Caenorhabditis elegans: one gene and its partners. The protein of the gene in region 1 purifies or fractionates together with the protein of each later gene. This does not show direct contact. Each region holds a gene or a part of one and is shown on either strand. Other genes may lie near its edges.

The links. Proteins that work in one complex are often made in the same cells at the same time.
Region 2: the proteins of hmg-4 (region 1) and top-2 purify together in Caenorhabditis elegans (affinity purification with mass spectrometry, with the first as the bait; 2 studies listed by BioGRID). This does not show direct contact.
Region 3: the proteins of hmg-4 (region 1) and spt-16 purify together in Caenorhabditis elegans (affinity purification with mass spectrometry; 3 studies listed by BioGRID, with this or other methods). This does not show direct contact.

Annotation. Positions count from the first base shown.
Region 1 is NC_003281.10:7,378,640-7,383,547, forward strand, and holds hmg-4 (FACT complex subunit SSRP1-A), read right to left. Parts: upstream 2,958-4,908; 5' UTR 2,957-2,957; coding exon 2,720-2,956; intron 2,613-2,719; coding exon 1,975-2,612; intron 1,913-1,974; coding exon 985-1,912; intron 933-984; coding exon 642-932; 3' UTR 504-641; downstream 1-503. Other genes in the region: T20B12.7 (Anamorsin homolog), read right to left, coding at 1-86, 280-406; T20B12.3 (nucleolar complex associated 4), read left to right, coding at 3,480-3,527, 3,575-3,934, 3,982-4,361, 4,408-4,518, 4,567-4,908.
Region 2 is NC_003280.10:11,873,463-11,881,099, forward strand, and holds top-2 (DNA topoisomerase 2 top-2), read left to right. Parts: upstream 1-1,685; 5' UTR 1,686-1,694; coding exon 1,695-1,794; intron 1,795-1,841; coding exon 1,842-2,178; intron 2,179-2,231; coding exon 2,232-2,964; intron 2,965-2,997; exon of another isoform or gene 2,998-3,092; intron 3,093-3,093; exon of another isoform or gene 3,094-3,154; intron 3,155-3,168; exon of another isoform or gene 3,169-3,240; intron 3,241-3,309; coding exon 3,310-3,552; intron 3,553-3,602; coding exon 3,603-6,242; intron 6,243-6,290; coding exon 6,291-6,694; intron 6,695-6,735; coding exon 6,736-6,841; 3' UTR 6,842-7,126; downstream 7,127-7,637. Other genes in the region: npp-3 (Nuclear Pore complex Protein), read right to left, coding at 1-137, 292-496, 546-637, 698-1,049, 1,097-1,231. UniProt on the Caenorhabditis elegans protein: Control of topological states of DNA by transient breakage and subsequent rejoining of DNA strands. Topoisomerase II makes double-strand breaks.
Region 3 is NC_003279.8:10,787,143-10,793,663, forward strand, and holds spt-16 (FACT complex subunit spt-16), read left to right. Parts: upstream 1-1,987; 5' UTR 1,988-1,994; coding exon 1,995-2,066; intron 2,067-2,114; coding exon 2,115-2,207; intron 2,208-2,257; coding exon 2,258-2,713; intron 2,714-3,074; coding exon 3,075-4,516; intron 4,517-4,676; coding exon 4,677-5,103; intron 5,104-5,156; coding exon 5,157-5,759; 3' UTR 5,760-6,010; downstream 6,011-6,521. Other genes in the region: F55A3.2 (C2H2-type domain-containing protein), read left to right, coding at 6,450-6,521. UniProt on the Caenorhabditis elegans protein: Component of the FACT complex, a general chromatin factor that acts to reorganize nucleosomes. The FACT complex is involved in multiple processes that require DNA as a template such as mRNA elongation, DNA replication and DNA repair.

The sequences.
Region 1 (4,908 bases):
GCAGACTTCGGCGAGCAACTCAGTCTCTTGTACTTGAATAATTGCACGCTCAACGTCTCCGACCAAAGAATCAGCACCGCGCAATTCTGAAATTGAGAATAGTAATTAAAGGTTAGAATTTATATTTTTGAAAATTAATTTTCAACTTTCTAATAACTGGCGCTACTTCGTTTTTAACAATTCTAAAATGAGTACTTTTTAATTTTAAATCAGTTTCATTTCTGATTCAATAAAATTACTTCCAAAATTTAAAGTCATTCAACAATAAAATAAGCTCACCTCTCGCATTCGAGACACTTCCCACCACTCTTGTCCCTTTGACCCCGTTGGTTCCATCGACCAGTGGTCCACCGTCCGTCACTTGAAGCAAGTTGGGATGCTTCAAAAAGTCGGACAAAATGGACATCTGAAATCGAATAATTTAAATTTCATAAGAATCGGAAAATAATCAAAGATCACGTATGGGTTTGAACCAGTAAATCGATCAATCATCAAAAAATAATAATAAAAGATAAGTGTATTAAAGTTAAAAGTGCAATCAAAAAATTAATGAATGTAACAGAATGAGATATTCAGACAACTTGAGATACATGAATATTTAAACGATAGTACACGAGTTTAAAAGAAACAAAATTAATAATTTAATCTGAATCATCCGATTCATCAGATCCATCGGAGCCATTATTACTCTCTTCTGATTCTTCTTTTGGAGCGGCTTTCTTCTCTTTTTTCTTCGGCTCCTCATCGTCCGAATCATCTGAATCACTGATATACTCTTTCGAAATGGCCTTGGATGAAGATGGTCCAGAACTTTTCTTTGATGTTTTTGATGAAGATGGTTTTGACGAGGAAGATGGTGGTCCATTCTTTCTGTATTCCTTCATTTCTTTCTCGTATCGAGACTTATCTTCTTCTGCTTTTTCCTCCCATTTCTGTAAATTAAAATTATTTTAGAGGATAAATTGTAGACTATAATCAACGAACCTTTTTATCATCCGAGCTCATCGTTTTCCATTTGGCTCCACCTTTCTTGGCCACATCAGCAACAGAATCACCATCCTCCTTCAGTTCATTTCGACTAGCAAGGAACCATTGCATGTAGGCACTTGTAGCACGTTTCGGAGCGTTTGGATCTTTGTCTTTCTTTCCTTTCTTGCCTTCCTTCTTTTCTCTTTTCTCCTTCTTTTCCCTCTTCTCTTTAGGTTCACCCTTTCTTCGCTTCGACGGAACATCTTGCTCAGAATCCGGCTCAGACTCTCCAGTTCCACTGGAATCTTGTTCTGATCCAGAATCATATTCATCGTCTGGCTCTGATCCAGTTCCTTCTGACGACTCCTTATCCTCCTTTTTCTTTTTTATATCCTTATCAAGATCATAATCTTCATCAGTACTGTCATCATCACTATCATCTCGTTGGCGTCCTTCGGCTGTAACTGCTGCTTTATATGGATCAATTTCATCATCACTGGAGTCTGCGACGGTATTCTCGACACGTTGTGAATTTCGGATTTTGATATTTTTCTTATTCAAATAATCGAATAATTTGTTGTTCTCCTCCTTTTCCATCGCATTGAAAGTTAAAGGTCCTCCATATTTCAAATCAATCTCGAAATCAAATGTCCTGGTGACAGTACCACTATCAGAACGTGCAAAATGACATGAGCTAATCTCCTCAAAGCGAATGTACATGGCTGGCTTGTGAATGAACAAAAATCCTTTTTCCATTGGGTACAATAATCCAGGGTTCTGACGATGTGTACATTGAATGGCAGGGGTGCCCGAGCTTCCCAGGAACCGTCCAGGAACAGTGATTTTTAAATTGCAAATTGATTTGAAGAGAATTGAGATTGTTTCATAGATTGGACCAGTCATGTCACGTCGTAGATTCCCATTGCTAGATTCGAGTTGTTCACTAAAAATATAATATTTTTAGACGATTGTCCGATTTTTCGTAAAATCTCTAGATAAACTCACTCAGTAAGTGCCAACTCCAAATCTTGTTCCTCGTCTTTTCCAAACTCAAAAATGAGATAACTGTATCGTGTCTGTCCCTGACGGATTGGTGGATTCAACGACAACACAAAATATACATGACGTCCATCTTTATGAGGTACCAGGAATAGACGATTGATCGACTTGATAGGAATCTTGTAGTCGTACGTTTTTCCATGAAGTGCAATACTTGTTGGATAAACTTTGATGTCGTATCTTCCACGAGGAGTTGTGCATAGAATGTCGGTGAGAAGACATATCGGTTGCTCCGTCTCGGCTTCCAATCCAGCGTATGCCAGAACAGCTTTCTTGAATTCTTCAACTTTATCAGCATCCTCCTCATTTTCAAGATCAATTGGCATATGGAATCTCATCTCCATGAGCTGAACTTTGCTATCATCATTTTGGTGGAACTCCAAAACTGCCTCATTTTTGTTTGCAATAACATTCGATACATTCGTGCACGGGATTTCGAAAATTGGCTTATCTTCCCATGAAAATTCAACAGTCTTGCCTTTTACTTCGGCTTGTCCGTAGTTCCATCCTTTGATGAAAAGATTTGATTGATCGATGGATTGAGACCAATTAGAAGAAGTGAACGATTGGATTTTCTCGAGGTCCTGAAATTTCAAGTTTGTGATTGAAGTTTTTTGAAAAGCAGCAAGAAAGCAAGAGTGTTTTAAATGAAACTAAAAACAAATCAAAATGAAATGAACAAAAAACTAACAGTATCTTTGAATCCTCCGAAGCGGTGAGCACCTCCATCGTTGAGACCGACTCGTAGTCCCGGCTTGTTGCCAAGTTTTTGCCATTTCAGTTTATCGATATCGGATCCCGTGACATTAACTGATTTTCCACCCTTATCGCCTTTGAAGTTGAGTGATTTTTCAGTCAATTTAAGTGTTCCGAACGCCAAATGACCTACATCTTCAACATAAACTCCCGGGAATTGGAGCTCAGCCATTCTGAAAATTGTTTGTCAATAAGTCTAGTTAACGAGAGAGAGAGGGAAGAAATCGAAAGAAGAGACTTCAGAAAGTATACTCCAGCAGAATGTAGCGACACTGAAAGAAAATATCGATTTTCCGAGCGAAACTAATTACGAAAATAAACCCTCTTTTCGGTGAAATTTGTTCTGGTTTCTTGCAATATGAATTCATGAATTCAATATACTCATTACCAGAGATTGAATATGATTATTTATAATTTAAACAGAAATAACGAAAAGATTTCGATAATTATCATCAGATTCGTATCGATTCTAGAAGAAAAATTGGGAAAAGTGTTGCATTATTTTTGGCGCGCCGAAGCGAAAACAATAAACTACGGTATTCGATTGTACGTGAACACCGAGCATTACTTTGTACGCAAACATGACACCTGACGACATTTCACAAGGATTCATACTTTTTCGTTTTTTTTTCTCAAAAATGTCTAAATTTTCTGATTTTTATAGCAATCGTCGCTAATCAAATAATTTCAGGGCAATGGACGACGATTTGGACCAATTTTTCCATGATGATGCGGAGCAGAATGTAAGAAATAGCAAAATCTCATGTAAATCTTACCAAAACCTTTTCAGGCTGATTTTTCGGATGATGGCTCAGAAGATGAAGCGCCTGACAATGTCGATGTCAATTATGAGTTGGAGAGGGAAGAACCCAAAAGCAAGTCTGTTGCAGAATTCACTAAATTTTTGCAAGAATGCGAATATCCGGATGACATCATAAAATACTTTAAAACGATAAAGTTTTTCGAAAAAGACGCAAAAACTGGAGATATTGTTTCTACAAAATCACTAAAGTTTACTGTAACCGGTTTCATTCAATACTTGTTTGGCACGAAGCGAATTCAGCGTCCAGTTCTCAGAGGAATCGCTAAAATTTTTGGAAGATATGATATTTTCCACTTAATCTCCCCGGAGCTTGTGAAGTCTATAACGGTGAGTTAAAATATCTGTATTTGTTTATACGAATCACACATTTTCAGCACCTAAAAGAAACTCGCACCACCGCCTGGTTCAACCTGTTCAATTTTCTTTCATTCGTCCCGCACCCAACTGATCGAGTGACGAAACCATTATTTCGCCAGTTTTGTGTCAGAACTCCATTCAACGATAAAAGTATGAAAAAACGAAAGCTGACATGGATCTCAACTGACTATGACAACGTTTGGATGGCTGTTATGAATGGAAAAATTAGTGACAAGTTGACACTGAAACTTATTCCATATATCACTCAGAACGTCATTTCGAAATTGAAAGCACCATTCAAATCTGCTGATTTCTTTTTCAAAATGTTCGACAAAACTGACTATCATGGAATTCTTTCGCTTGGTGCTATTTTTCGTCTTATTTCAGAACATAACTTGTAAGAGATTTTATTTGAAATAGATTCATATAAATCTTTATTTCAGTGAATATCCGAAATTCTACGACAAAGTATATTCATTGACGAACCCATCTCTTCTCTATATGAGTCAGAAAGAATCCATTCTGACACTTCTGGATAGTTTCCTGTCGTCTACGTGAGTTGCAATATTCTAGAAAATTTATTCTGAATCATACCTTTTCAGCCATCTCCCAACATACATCACTGCTTCGTTCCTCAAACGACTCTCCCGATGCCTTCTTCTTGCTCCAATTGATGCTCAGGAACCAATTCTTGGATTAATTAGAAATCTTGTGATTAGACATCCAAACTGTTCTGAATTGGTTCATCGTGAGGTTCCTCAGACTCTTTACGATGATCCTTTCGACAATGATGAGACAGATTTACACAAAACTCGCGCATTGGAATCAAGTCTTTGGGAGATGAAACTTCTTCAATGTCACTGGAATCAAAGTGTCAGAAAACGAGCTCATTTCGTTGATAAATCGATTCAAAAAATTGAGTCTTACGTTCGATTCCGATGCAC
Region 2 (7,637 bases), on another chromosome or scaffold:
TGATGGCGATGAGGCAATCGATTTCAGAGCAACAGCGCATGCTAGCTGTAGAGTTCCGCACATTGCTTGATCCGACCAGTCTGTTTCATTCCGAATGTGGGCGATCATGTTTGTGAGCACTTGTTGAGCATCGTGAACTGTAAACTCTCAAACAGATTTGTAACTGGATTTTTGGGTATAGGCATGAAGATGGAGTAGCGAGAATTGCTTTAGAAAATCGAAAATATTCTCGAATACAGAAAAACCACAAAAGAAAAACAGAAAAATCGCTACTCCATCTTCAAATATTACCTTGAGACAACACTTCACTCGATGTGATTTTAACGAGAGAAATCCAGGCTGTCAAGCTACTACAACTGAGCTTCTCCGGTGGAACTGCCTTTACAATTTGGAATAAATGATTTGAAATCGAAACTGCGTTTCCTCCCGGAATCTCACAGATCATCGAAATGCAACCAATTACTTCACTTCGAATCTCCTCAATGGCATTTCTGACCTGAAATTAATTTTATGAAAGAATTCCAAAATTATAATCAATTCGGTACCAATTTCTGATGTTTAGAGCCTCCTAAACCGTTGACATCTGGAGATTGAAGTCGTGCAAATTCTGATTGAACGGTGAAATTGATTAGTTGTTCTGAAAATTGGAAAAAAAAATTAGTAATATTTATGATAATATAATTTTTTGAAAACCCACGAAAAAGGTTTTTGATCACGTCCTCGTTGATGAATGTGCTATTGAGGAACTTGCTGATACGTTGAGGAATATCCTCTCGGTCCCATTTTAGCATTTGGCGCATTGTTGCGATTAGGAGCCTGTGCGCATCATAGTAGCAAACGACAGCGATTAATCCTCTGTTGAGGCCTTCGAAATGTATTTTTTGAGCTTCTCCGGCCAAAATCAAATCCACAGCTTCCAGCTCATTTAATTGAAAGATATCCGACAAAATGAGTGCTTCCGAACAGATTTCCTCGTCTAGCGCAACTTCCACTCCTGCCATTTCCACATTTCCTGGCTTCAGCTTTTCCCGATCTTTACCCGTTCGTCTCTTCAATTAGAAAGGTTTATTACACTAACATCAGTCGGAAAACATACCGGATTCAAAAGAATATTGCTCAATCGCCATCTGTATTTCTCGATTTCGTTGAACAGCTCGTTTATTTTTCGGTCGTCATCGAAAGCTGTGAAGGAGACGATGAGTTCGTAAAATTTACGAATCTCAATCCACATTTTGAGCTCTCTAAAATAAATAAAACATTATTTAGAACAAAAAGTTACTTTTTTTGAATTTTTTCGCAAAAAAATTACACAACTTCTATCTCGCAATGCATTTCCGTAAGAGACGCAGACACAAAAACTAAATTTCGTATTTCGAGGCTACAACTACGGTAACACTCGTTTCAGCTGTGTATTTTTCGCGCGTTCGCTGCGAGACCCGACGCTCTTAGGCCGCCAATTTCGAATCGGACGCTCATTTTGGCGCGCTCAGTTGTTTTTTTGTGCGCTCTCTAGCCGGCTGTCTTGCATCGATTCAGTGTTCAGTGTCCAGTGATGTCCACTGGTGTGCTAGTTCTTTTTCTCTTCACTCATTTTTCTTCGCATCCTCAAGTTTATTGAATATTCACCGCGTTTCTTTCTCTCTTTCTCCCGATCGTCCTAAAATTAAATGTCATCTTTTTCCAGATCTCTAACAATGAGCGACTCTGATAGTGAATTCTCTATCGAAGATTCACCCAAGAAGAAAACCGCACCAAAGAAGGAGAAGGCGTCACCGAAGAAAAAGAAAGATGATGGTTGGTTAATTTGTAGAGTTTCTTGAATCTAATTTGCTTCTTTTCAGCCAACGAGTCGATGGTTATGACTGAAGAGGACCGCAATGTGTTCACGTCGATCGACAAAAAAGGTGGTGGCTCGAAACAAATGGCGATCGAGGATATCTACCAAAAGAAGTCCCAACTCGAGCACATTCTTCTTCGCCCGGACACCTACATCGGTTCGGTCGAGCATACCGAGAAGACGCCGATGTGGGTCTACAACATGGAGGAGAGCAAGCTGGAGCAGCGTGACATCTCATACGTGCCGGGACTCTACAAGATTTATGATGAAATTCTTGTGAATGCCGCTGACAACAAACAGAGAGATCCGAAGATGAACACAATCAAGATCACCATCAATAAGTAAGTTTAGACCGTAGCATAAAGGAATTTAATTTAATTTTGCTTTCTTTCAGGGAGAAAAATGAGATCTCTGTCTACAACAATGGCAAAGGAATCCCAGTCACTCAGCACAAAGTGGAGAAAGTCTACGTCCCAGAGCTGATTTTTGGAACTCTTCTAACATCTTCTAACTACAATGACGATGAGAAGAAAGTGACGGGAGGACGCAACGGATATGGAGCAAAGCTTTGCAACATCTTCTCCACAAAATTCACTCTGGAGACGTCTTCACGGGATTACAAAAGTGCATTCAAGCAAACGTGGATCAAAAACATGACGCGTGATGAGGAGCCGAAGATTGTTAAGAGCACCGACGAAGACTTCACGAAGATCACATTCTCGCCGGATCTGGCAAAGTTCAAGATGAAGGAGCTGGACGATGACATCTGCCATTTGATGGCTCGGCGTGCGTATGATGTGGCTGGATCCAGTAAAGGAGTCGCCGTGTTCCTCAATGGAAAACGAATTCCAATCAAAGGATTCGAGGACTACGTCCAAATGTACACTTCGCAGTTCAACAATGAAGGAGAACCCCTCAAGATCGCATACGAGCAAGTTGGAGATCGTTGGCAAGTCGCCTTGGCTCTTTCGGAAAAAGGCTTCCAACAAGTGTCATTTGTCAACAGTATTGCTACCACAAAAGGAGGACGGCACGTGGACTACGTGGCTGATCAGATGGTCGCCAAGTTCATCGACTCGATCAAGCGGAAGCTCACAAAGACGTCGATGAATATCAAGCCATTCCAGGTAAATTTCGTCGAATTTAAAATATTTACCGCCAATGATGACTCAAAATAGCTATATGAACTCTTTGGTGACTCGATAATAAGAGAAATCTGAAAATTTTCAAGGTTTTTCTAGAGATTTCACCGATTCTTTTGAAGTATCGGTGCACCAAGTGAAAAATAAAATTGCGACGCTTTAGTGACGCTGGAGAAAGTTTTTATCCAGTGTCTAAAGGCGCGGCGCAACATTTTTAAACTTTCCGATGATTTGTGATTACTAAAAGGCGAATCTGAGGCGAGGAATTGCTAATGCGAATTCAAATCTAATAAATTTTCCAAATATTCAATTTTATATCAAAATTTTCAGATCAAAAATCACATGTGGGTTTTTGTGAATTGCTTGATCGAAAATCCGACATTCGACTCCCAGACGAAAGAGACTATGACCCTGCAGCAGAAGCAGTTCGGATCGACCTGCGTCCTCAGCGAGAAGTTCTCCAAAGCGGCTTCAAGTGTTGGAATCACCGATGCTGTTATGAGTTGGGTTCGCTTCAAACAAATGGACGACCTCAACAAAAAGTGCTCCAAGACGAAGACTTCCAAGCTGAAGGTAACAATTCATCTAATTCGTGGCCTTGTTTTAATTAATATTTATTTCAGGGCATTCCAAAGCTTGAAGATGCCAACGACGCTGGAACCAAAAATTCCCAACAATGCACATTAATTCTGACGGAGGGAGACTCGGCCAAAACGCTTGCTGTTTCGGGACTTTCAGTCGTTGGACGCGACAAATATGGAGTATTCCCACTTCGAGGAAAATTGCTAAATGTCCGAGAAGGAAATATGAAACAAATCGCCGATAATGCTGAGGTCAATGCCATGATCAAAATTCTGGGACTCCAATACAAGAAGAAGTACGAGACAGAAGATGACTTCAAGACTCTTCGATACGGTAAACTGATGGTCATGGCTGATCAGGATCAAGACGGTTCACACATCAAAGGACTCGTGATCAATTTCATCCATCACTTCTGGCCTTCTCTCATTCAGCGGAACTTCGTAGAAGAATTCATCACTCCAATTGTCAAAGCCACCAAAGGAAAAGAAGAAGTTTCCTTCTATTCGCTCCCAGAATATTCTGAGTGGAGAATGAATACGGATAACTGGAAGTCGTACAAGATCAAGTACTACAAGGGATTGGGTACATCGACTTCTAAGGAAGCTAAGGAATACTTCTTGGACATGGTTCGTCATCGTATCCGCTTCAAGTACAATGGAGCTGATGATGATAACGCTGTCGACATGGCTTTCTCGAAGAAGAAGATTGAAGAGAGAAAAGACTGGCTCTCGAAGTGGATGCGGGAGAAGAAGGACCGAAAGCAGCAGGGACTTGCTGAAGAATATCTCTACAACAAGGACACTCGATTCGTCACCTTCAAAGATTTCGTCAATCGTGAATTGGTCCTCTTCTCGAATCTCGACAACGAGCGTTCAATTCCATGCCTTGTGGATGGTTTCAAGCCAGGACAGCGGAAGGTTCTCTTCGCGTGCTTCAAGAGAGCAGACAAGCGTGAAGTCAAAGTAGCTCAATTGGCTGGAGCTGTCGCTGAAATTTCTGCTTACCATCACGGAGAACAGTCGCTTATGGGAACAATTGTGAATCTCGCTCAAGATTACGTTGGCTCCAACAACATCAACCTGCTTCTTCCAATCGGACAGTTTGGTACTCGTCTCCAAGGTGGAAAGGACAGTGCTTCAGCTCGTTACATCTTCACTCAACTGTCGCCAGTCACTCGTACACTCTTCCCGGCTCACGATGACAATGTCCTTCGTTTCCTTTATGAAGAAAATCAGCGTATTGAGCCAGAATGGTATTGCCCGATTATTCCAATGGTACTCGTCAATGGAGCTCAAGGCATCGGTACTGGATGGTCCACGAACATTCCTAATTACAATCCACGTGAACTGGTCAAGAACATCAAGCGTCTTATCGCCGGCGAGCCACAGAAAGCCTTAGCTCCATGGTACAAGAACTTCCGCGGAAAGATCATTCAAATCGACCCGAGTCGATTTGCATGCTATGGTGAAGTTGCTGTGCTGGATGACAACACCATTGAGATCACCGAGTTGCCAATCAAACAGTGGACTCAAGACTACAAAGAGAAGGTTTTGGAAGGATTGATGGAGAGCTCGGACAAGAAATCGCCTGTTATCGTCGACTACAAAGAGTATCACACAGATACAACTGTCAAGTTCGTCGTGAAGCTCTCGCCGGGAAAACTTCGTGAATTGGAGCGCGGTCAGGATCTTCATCAAGTCTTCAAGCTCCAAGCTGTCATCAACACTACGTGCATGGTACTTTTCGATGCTGCCGGATGTCTTCGTACATACACTTCGCCAGAAGCGATTACTCAAGAGTTCTACGATAGTCGCCAAGAGAAGTACGTACAGAGAAAGGAGTACCTTCTCGGAGTTCTTCAGGCTCAGAGCAAGCGTCTCACTAACCAGGCTCGTTTCATCCTCGCCAAGATCAACAACGAGATTGTTCTCGAGAACAAGAAGAAGGCGGCGATTGTCGATGTTTTGATCAAGATGAAGTTCGATGCTGATCCAGTGAAGAAGTGGAAGGAGGAGCAAAAACTCAAAGAGCTTCGTGAATCTGGAGAGATCGAGCTGGACGAAGATGATCTAGCTGCTGTCGCCGTCGAAGAGGACGAAGCCATTTCCTCTGCTGCGAAGGCCGTTGAAACCAAGCTATCAGACTACGATTACCTTGTCGGAATGGCTCTCATCAAGCTTTCGGAAGAAGAGAAGAATAAGCTCATCAAGGAATCGGAGGAGAAGATGGCTGAGGTTCGAGTTATCGAGAAGAAGACCTGGCAAGATCTTTGGCATGAGGATCTGGACAACTTCGTGTCTGAGTTGGACAAACAGGAGGCTCGCGAGAAAGCTGATCAAGATGCCAGCATCAAAAATGCCGCCAAAAAGCTTGCTGCCGACGCAAAGACCGGACGTGGACCCAAGAAGAATGTGTGCACGGAAGTCCTTCCATCCAAAGATGGACAGCGCATTGAGCCGATGTTGGATGCTGCAACCAAGGCCAAATATGAGAAGATGTCTCAGCCAAAGAAGGAACGCGTCAAGAAAGAGCCAAAGGAGCCGAAAGAACCAAAGAAGGTGAAAAAGGAAGGCCAGGACATTAAAAAGTTCATGTCTCCAGCTGCTCCGAAGACTGCGAAGAAGGAGAAAAGCGACGGCTTCAACTCTGACATGTCAGAGGAAAGTGACGTGGAGTTCGATGTAAGATTTCCTCTGTAATTTCTTCAACTTCTAAAATATTTTTTGCAGGAAGGAATCGATTTCGATTCGGACGATGACGGTGTGGAGCGTGAGGATGTCGTCTCAAAGCCAAAACCTCGTACTGGAAAAGGAGCTGCGAAAGCGGAAGTTATCGATTTGTCAGATGATGATGAAGTTCCTGCAAAGAAGCCTGCTCCAGCGAAGAAAGCTGCTCCGAAGAAGAAAAAGAGCGAGTTCAGCGATCTGTCTGGCGGCGACAGTGATGAAGAAGCTGAGAAGAAGCCGTCCACCAGCAAAAAGCCGTCTCCAAAGAAGGCTGCTCCGAAGACGGCCGAGCCCAAGTCGAAGGCGGTGACCGATTTCTTTGGTGCTTCAAAGAAGAACGGAAAGAAGGCCGCTGGTTCCGATGATGAAGACGACGAAAGCTTCGTTGTGGCTCCAAGAGAGAAGAGGTTAGTTTGAAAATTATTTTTAAAAAATGTAATTATTTCAGCGGAAGAGCTCGCAAGGCGCCACCAACTTACGACGTGGATTCAGGATCCGATTCGGATCAGCCAAAGAAGAAGAGGGGACGCGTCGTCGACTCCGACTCGGATTAAATTAATTTGTTTCCCACCTTCCTTAAGTGTTTCTAATTTATTTTCTTTCCAATCATTTTAAAATCGTTTTAACGATCTCAACCATCCCCATCCTCCCCCAAATCATCCCGTATATTAAGTTTGTATTTTTACATGAGGGAAACTGCTGTAATATAATTATCGCCCTTATGCCTAAATTATTTACCCCTACCTAATTTCACTGTTTTTAAAAGTTATTTTTCTATTTATGTGAGTCTCAAGAATTATTGAGAAGAGTCTTCTTGCAATGAAAATGCCTATATTTCCAAAGCTTCCAACCTATATGCAGGTCTTCATCGTTTGTGTCGCTTGAGAAATGACGATGACAAGTCGTAAACGGTCTGTGTCCTTCTTCGTTGCATCCAACGTCTTGTTCCTACTGTTTTCTATTCCCCTATCGATCACACACTGTGTGTGCGTGTCCTTGGGCCTCTACCGTTTTTGAGGTCGAACATTTTAGACATTCAGGCGAACAATGAGATTTAGAGAGACACATGGAATCGCCTCCCCGGGAGAACTGGAGACTCGAGATGATTTGGTAGTCAGATAAGAAGAATCAATTGTATATTGAAGAAAAATGTAGAAATTAGGGAAACTTTTAAAGATAAAATTTAAAAATAAAATGCATTCGGCGCCAAGCTGAATGTGTCTCTAGTCATAGTCCTTGCTTTGTGGAGGATATTATGACTAACGAGCACATCCAGCGTGGCACATGGTGCATGAGCAGCTGAATACTGGAACGAAATTTGAATAAGTTGATTCTCAGAAGTTTGGCCGA
Region 3 (6,521 bases), on another chromosome or scaffold:
GTCTTTAACTGCGAACAGATGAGTAAACGCGAGAGTAACGTCATTCTTATTGACACCGCCTTCCTCGAGCGCCTTATTCCACGAACTGACGAATTCCGAGCTGAATTTCTCTTTGACGAAATTTCCAACATCTCCGCCTGCACTTTTGATGTGATCAATGAGCTTTTCAAAGTTTCCAGCGTCTTTATCGGTTTTATCGCGGAGCAGTGTGCTGACTGTTGGCACTTTTCCTGAGCTCTGATTGTCTCCAGTGACTGATCCGAAGAATTCGACTTTGCGATTACTTCCGAGAATGTAAATGTGATCATTGAGAAGCAACAGGACTGTGTCAGCGATTTCGTGGCCAAAAAGCCAGGTCTGAAATAAAAATTTGTCTTGAGTTTGAACAAAGTCTGAAAAATCCTTACAAATAGTTCGCTGGTCTTTGTATATGGATTATCAGTCTCTCCGTATACAAAAGCAAGTGATTTGATCGAATCTAGACCATCGGCTCCCTTCTCCTGTAAAATATTTGTAAAAAAGTAAAAACTATCAAAAACAGATCCAATGAAAATAAAATGGAACTCGGTAATTTTCAAACTCAATCTCACAATTTTTCGATGGAAAACATTTTAAAAATATAGCAATTCTACAGCTTTTATGGCAAAAAAATAGGGAAAAAATTAGAATTCAAAAATGTTCGTCGACAACAACGCAAAACCACAATCGTGTCGAGACCCATCCGAGTAAGCCGATGTCCCTTTAACCAACCCTATCGCGGTTTTTTTTTAAATTTTTAAAATTTCTTCAAATATTTCGTCCGTTTCTCTTGTGGACCGCTGTTAAAATAGTTAAATACTTTATTTTTCAGAAAACAGATAATTTATACCAAATTGACAGATGTAGAGCTAAACTCCTCAAAATTTTCTAAAGTTCTTATAATTTTACTGTTGTCTGCGTTTCAAGGCCTGAAATATTGTAGGCACTATCGTAGGATTACAACCGGATTTGTAACTTTGATTATCTGAAAAGGAAAAATATTAAACTTTTCTTTCAGGATTTTTCGCAATTGCCGGCGTAATAATTGCTAAAAGTCGACTTTAACTTCAATATATTTTAGCATTCCGAATCTGAAACTAGTTCCCAAATGCCATCTCTCCTTATCATTATAGTCTTCTTGCTGGTATTCTTGGAAATTGGATTTTTCCCTGTAATGTGTGGATGTTGGATGGATGTTTGTACACTTCCATTATTCAATATAACATTATCACAAAGAATTGCAACATTTGCCACAGCTCCATTCATGTCAATATTCCTTCATTGGATGGTTGGAATGATTTATGTATTTTATTCAGCGTCATTTGTGATTCTTCTTCGAGAAATCCTTCGTCCTGGTGTACTATGGTTTATGAGAAATCTCAACGATCCCGACTTTAATCCAATTCAAGAAATAATTGATCTACCGTTCACGCGGCATTTCCGAAGACTTGTTGTATCTACAACTCTGTTCTTTTCAACGATTCTTCTGACATCCTACATCCCGCTCAACATAATCTCATCACTTATTCCACATCTTCTACCCTACAGAAACTCCACTTTCTGAACTCTCGCTGGAATTGATGTTTCTTCAAGAATTCATCACAATTGTGTACTCTCACATGGCCCCTCCGTAAATAACATGGCGGGAATATTGCATGCGGAGTGGTTGCGAAAGTGCGTGCGGCTGTTGCGTTCCTTGACCACGCCCAACTTCATTCCATTCTTTTTCGCGCGCAATCCTCACTTTCAGCTCTAATTTTTCAGAGTTTACAGTTCTTCAGTGAAAAAATATTTGTCTCGTCAAAACGTTTTTTTCAAAATTTTAAAATTGTGTCAAAAAAAATTAATTTTTTCGCAAATTTCAAACTTTTAGCCTATCCGAATCCGTTGCTGGTCACTTTGTTTACGTTATCGATTTTTGCTTCCATCTCTCAATCCTCGTGACTTTAACACAATTTCTAACTTTCAGGGGAGAAATGTCTGGAAAACGGGCAGTTCTCAACAAGGATCTCTTTTTCCAGAGAGCGGAGAGGCTTTATGAGCACTGGGTTTGTGACTTTCAGGACTTTACGAATTTTTAATCAAATATTTTACAGGAGAAGGGAGCCGATGGTCTAGATTCGATCAAATCACTTGCTTTTGTATACGGAGAGACTGATAATCCATATACAAAGACCAGCGCACTATTTGTAAGGATTTTTCAGAATTTGTTCAAACTCAAGACAAATTTTTATTTCAGACCTGGCTGTTTGGCCACGAAATCGCTGACACAGTCCTGTTGCTTCTCAAAGATCACATTTACATTCTCGGAAGTAATCGCAAAGTCGAATTCTTCGGATCAGTCACTGGAGACAATCAGAGCTCAGGAAAAGTGCCAACAGTCAGCACACTGCTCCGCGATAAAACCGACAAAGACGCTGGAAACTTTGAAAAGCTCATCGATCACATCAAAAGTGCCGGCGGAGATGTTGGAAATTTCGTCAAAGAGAAATTCAGCTCGGAATTCGTCAGTTCGTGGAATAAGGCGCTCGAGGAAGGCGGTGTCAATAAGAATGACGTCACTCTCGCGTTTACTCATCTGTTCGCAGTGAAAGACGATAAGGAGATGGATTTGATTCGAAAATCAGCACAAGCTACAACCGCATCATGGACAGCTGCAAGAGCTCGCTACGTAGAGATCATTGATCAAGAAAAGGTGCTTATCGTTCTGAAAATAGTTGAACCAGGAGTCCGCTGCAAGCATTTCTACATAATTAGCCAGTTTTTGGTGATAGAATATAATGAAGCAGTTGATGTATCTGAAAATAGCTTTTAATTCAATTGAAAAAGCGGAAGAACTGCTCAAAATCAATCTGAAAGTTGGAAATCACCCGAAAATTAAACTTTCATGCAGTTTTTGAGCGTTCTTCCAGTTGTTTCAATTAAATGTAAAGCTATTTTTAGATGACTAAACTGTTTTTCCTTTTATCTATCACCAATAACTGGCTCATTTTTTAGTACTCCTGGGAAAACCACTGTTTTAATCCCGAGAAAATAATTCTTTTTTATTTTTGCAGCGAGTCCGTCACTCTGTTCTCTCCAATGAGTTTGCCGCCTTCATGAAGGATTCAAAAGTACAACAGGCACTGGCCAAGTATGAAGCCGACACATGCTATGATCCAATCGTAATGTCCGGTGGAAATTACTCGTTCAAATGGAATCATGAAAGCTCGGAATCTCATCTTCACAGCCAGTTTGGAACGATCATCACTTCGTTCGGAGCTCGTTTATCAGAATATTGCACAAATTTGACGCGAACTATGCTCATCTTCCCATCTTCTGAACTTGAGACTGCCTATGAAGCGATTCTTGCCGCCGAGCTGGCAGTAATTGCTGCTCTGAAGCCAGGAGCCAAGCTGAGCGATGTTTATAAAATTGGAATCGATACATTGACGGAGAAAAGTCCAAAACTTGCTGAAACTCTGAACAAGAAAGAGCTTGGATTTGCGACTGGAATCGAATTCCGTGAGAGTCGTCTTGCTATCAGTGCGAAGTGTGACGAGGTTGTCAAAGCAGGAATGGTCTTCATCGTTTATATTGGTGTCGATAGTATTCCAAACAAAAATAAAGGAGAAAAAGGAAAACCCGCCGCAATTGCAATCTCGGATACAATTTTGGTTAAAGAAGAAGGCGATAACGAGATTCTCACCGAAAAAGCCAAATCACGCCTGAAGTCCAACGTCATCAAATTCAAAGAGGAGCAGGAAAACCGTGAAGCTGAAAAGGACAATGATCAGAAGAAAATGCTCGGAAGAGGTCAGAGAAGTGTCGTTCTAACTGATCAGACGAGAAATAAGACGACAAACGAAGAGTTACGTAAGGAACGTCAGAAAGAGCTCGGAGTTCAGTTGAATGAGCTCGCAAAAGCTCGTCTTTCAAAGCAAGGCGGTGGGACCGATGAGAAAAAGTCGAAGAAATCGAATGTGTCATATAAAACCGAAGAGAGATTCCCACAAGATGCAGACGTTCAGAAGATGTTGATTTTCGTGGATCGCAAGTATGATTCTGTGGTTGTTCCAATATTTGGAATTCCTGTCCCATTCCATATCTCCATGATAAAGAATTGTTCGCAATCAGTTGAAGGAGATTTCACATATCTTCGAATCAACTTTGCCACTCCAGGATCTCAAGTTGGAAAGGATAGTGGGCAATTCCCACATCCACTTGCACACTATATGAAGGAGCTCACGTTCCGTGCGAGTAACATCAAGGATCATCACAGTGATTCGACTGCGCCGAGCCATAATTTGAGCACCGCATTCCGACTCATCAAGGAAATGCAGAAGAGATTCAAGACTGAAGAGGCTGAAGAGCGGGAGAAGGAAGGAGCTGTGAAGCAGGACAAATTGATTTTGAGCCAGAACAAATTGAATCCGAAGCTCAAGGATCTTCTGATTCGTCCGAATATTATTCAAAAGCGTATCACTGGATCGTTGGAGGCCCACACTAATGGATTTAGGTACAGTTTTGAAGGAAAACGAATGTTTCTGAACTCAAAAATTGCCAAATTTGAAAACTTTCGTTTCGAAATTATGCCGTTTCGGATCAGTTTTAGTCTATTTAAACAAAAAAAATCTAAAAGCTCAAAATTTCCTATTTTTATTTCAATGATTTTCCAGATACACATCTCTTCGTGGTGATCGTATTGATGTTCTCTACAACAACATCAAACATGCATTCTTCCAACCGTGCGACAATGAAATGATCATCCTTCTGCACTTCCATCTCAAGAATCCAGTATTGTGGGGAAAGAAGAAGTATAAGGATGTTCAATTCTACACAGAAGTCGGAGAAATCACTACGGATCTTGGAAAGTATCATCATATGCAAGATCGTGATGATATGCAGAGTGAACAGCAAGAACGTGAAATGCGTCGTCGTCTCAATGCTGCATTTAATAGTTTCTGCGAGAAGGTGTCTCGTCTCACAAATGATCAATTTGAATTCGATTCTCCGTTCGCTGGACTCGGATTCTTTGGAGTTCCGTATCGTTCGGCTACCACACTCAAACCAACTGCATCGTGCCTTGTTAATCTCACCGAATGGGTATGTTTTTTGAATTTTATTCCTGAATTCTTTTATATTTTATTTATTTTCAGCCTACATTCATCGTCACACTCTCCGAAGTTGAACTTGTCCACTTTGAACGTGTCTCTCTTCAACTCAAGAATTTCGATATGGTCTTCATCTTCAAAGATTACAAGATCAAACCTCAGATGGTCGCCCAAATCCCGATGAGCAGCATCGATAAGATAAAAGAATGGCTTCATACTTGTGATATTTGGTACAGTGAAGGAATTCAATCACTGAATTGGGCAAAAGTTATGAAGACAATCACTGATGATCTTGAAGCATTCTTTGAAGAAGGTGGATGGAGTTTCCTTAATGTTGAATCTGATAATGAAGAGGCAATGGATGATTCTGATGATTCGGATGCTTATGATCCTGAAGAAGAAGATGCATCTGCTGGATCAGGAAGTGAAAGTGATGAAGATGAAAGTGAAGGTGAAGAGACTGAATCCGATGATGATGATGAAGGATCGTTGGATTCCGATGAATCAGAAGGAAAAGATTGGTCAGATTTGGAGGAAGAAGCAGCGAATGCTGATAAGAGACGTGAAGTCGAAGAACCTTCACGTGATCGTGATCGTAAGAGACCACATTCGAGCAAGTCTGGACCATCGCACAAACGCAGAAAGTAAATCCTGTTTGTATAATTTCCTCCGTTTTATTCTTTTGTTTTGTTTTTCAACTATTTAAATCCCCAAGAATTTTCTTCGCATCTCAATCAATCAATCCGTCCCGTTACACCCCCCATTTTACAACAATTTTACAACTAAAATCTGTCAATCCCCTTATTTTTCTTTCCCACTCAAAATTTGAGTCGATGCTAAAATATTTTTGATTTCAAAATCAATTAATGTCAAATGAAGTTTCATGGAGGCACGTTTTTACATAATTTTGTCGGTTTTCTGAAAATGTTTCCGTTTCTACTTTTTCTGATTAATATTACAACAACAAAATTATACAGATTTCTAAAAAGGAAAAGTTTTGCCAAATGGGTCTCGCCGCGCAGACGACAGGTTACTGTAGCTCGTGTTGATCTTCGAGCCGCTTTAGAATATTATGCAAAAGCGTCATAGACACGAGTTACCGTAGTCCTCGTGGCGAGACCCATTTGGCGAAAAGTTTTAATTTTAGACGTCTGTGTAATAAGCAGTTGCTTGAAACATGAAGATCGTATGCAGAGGGTGGAGCATTGGAATGCTCTTGACATGCCACGTGTCTTGCACTTAGCCCTCTGATTGCGGTGGATTTGTGGGTTCGGTGAGTGGGAATTTTGCTGAAAATAATTTTTTAATTGAATAAACTCGCTAATTTCCGATTTACAGATGCCGAAACCACCTGGCCCAGTGGCAAAACGGTTAAAACTGAAGGATGATTCAGTTTCGGGTTCCGATTCA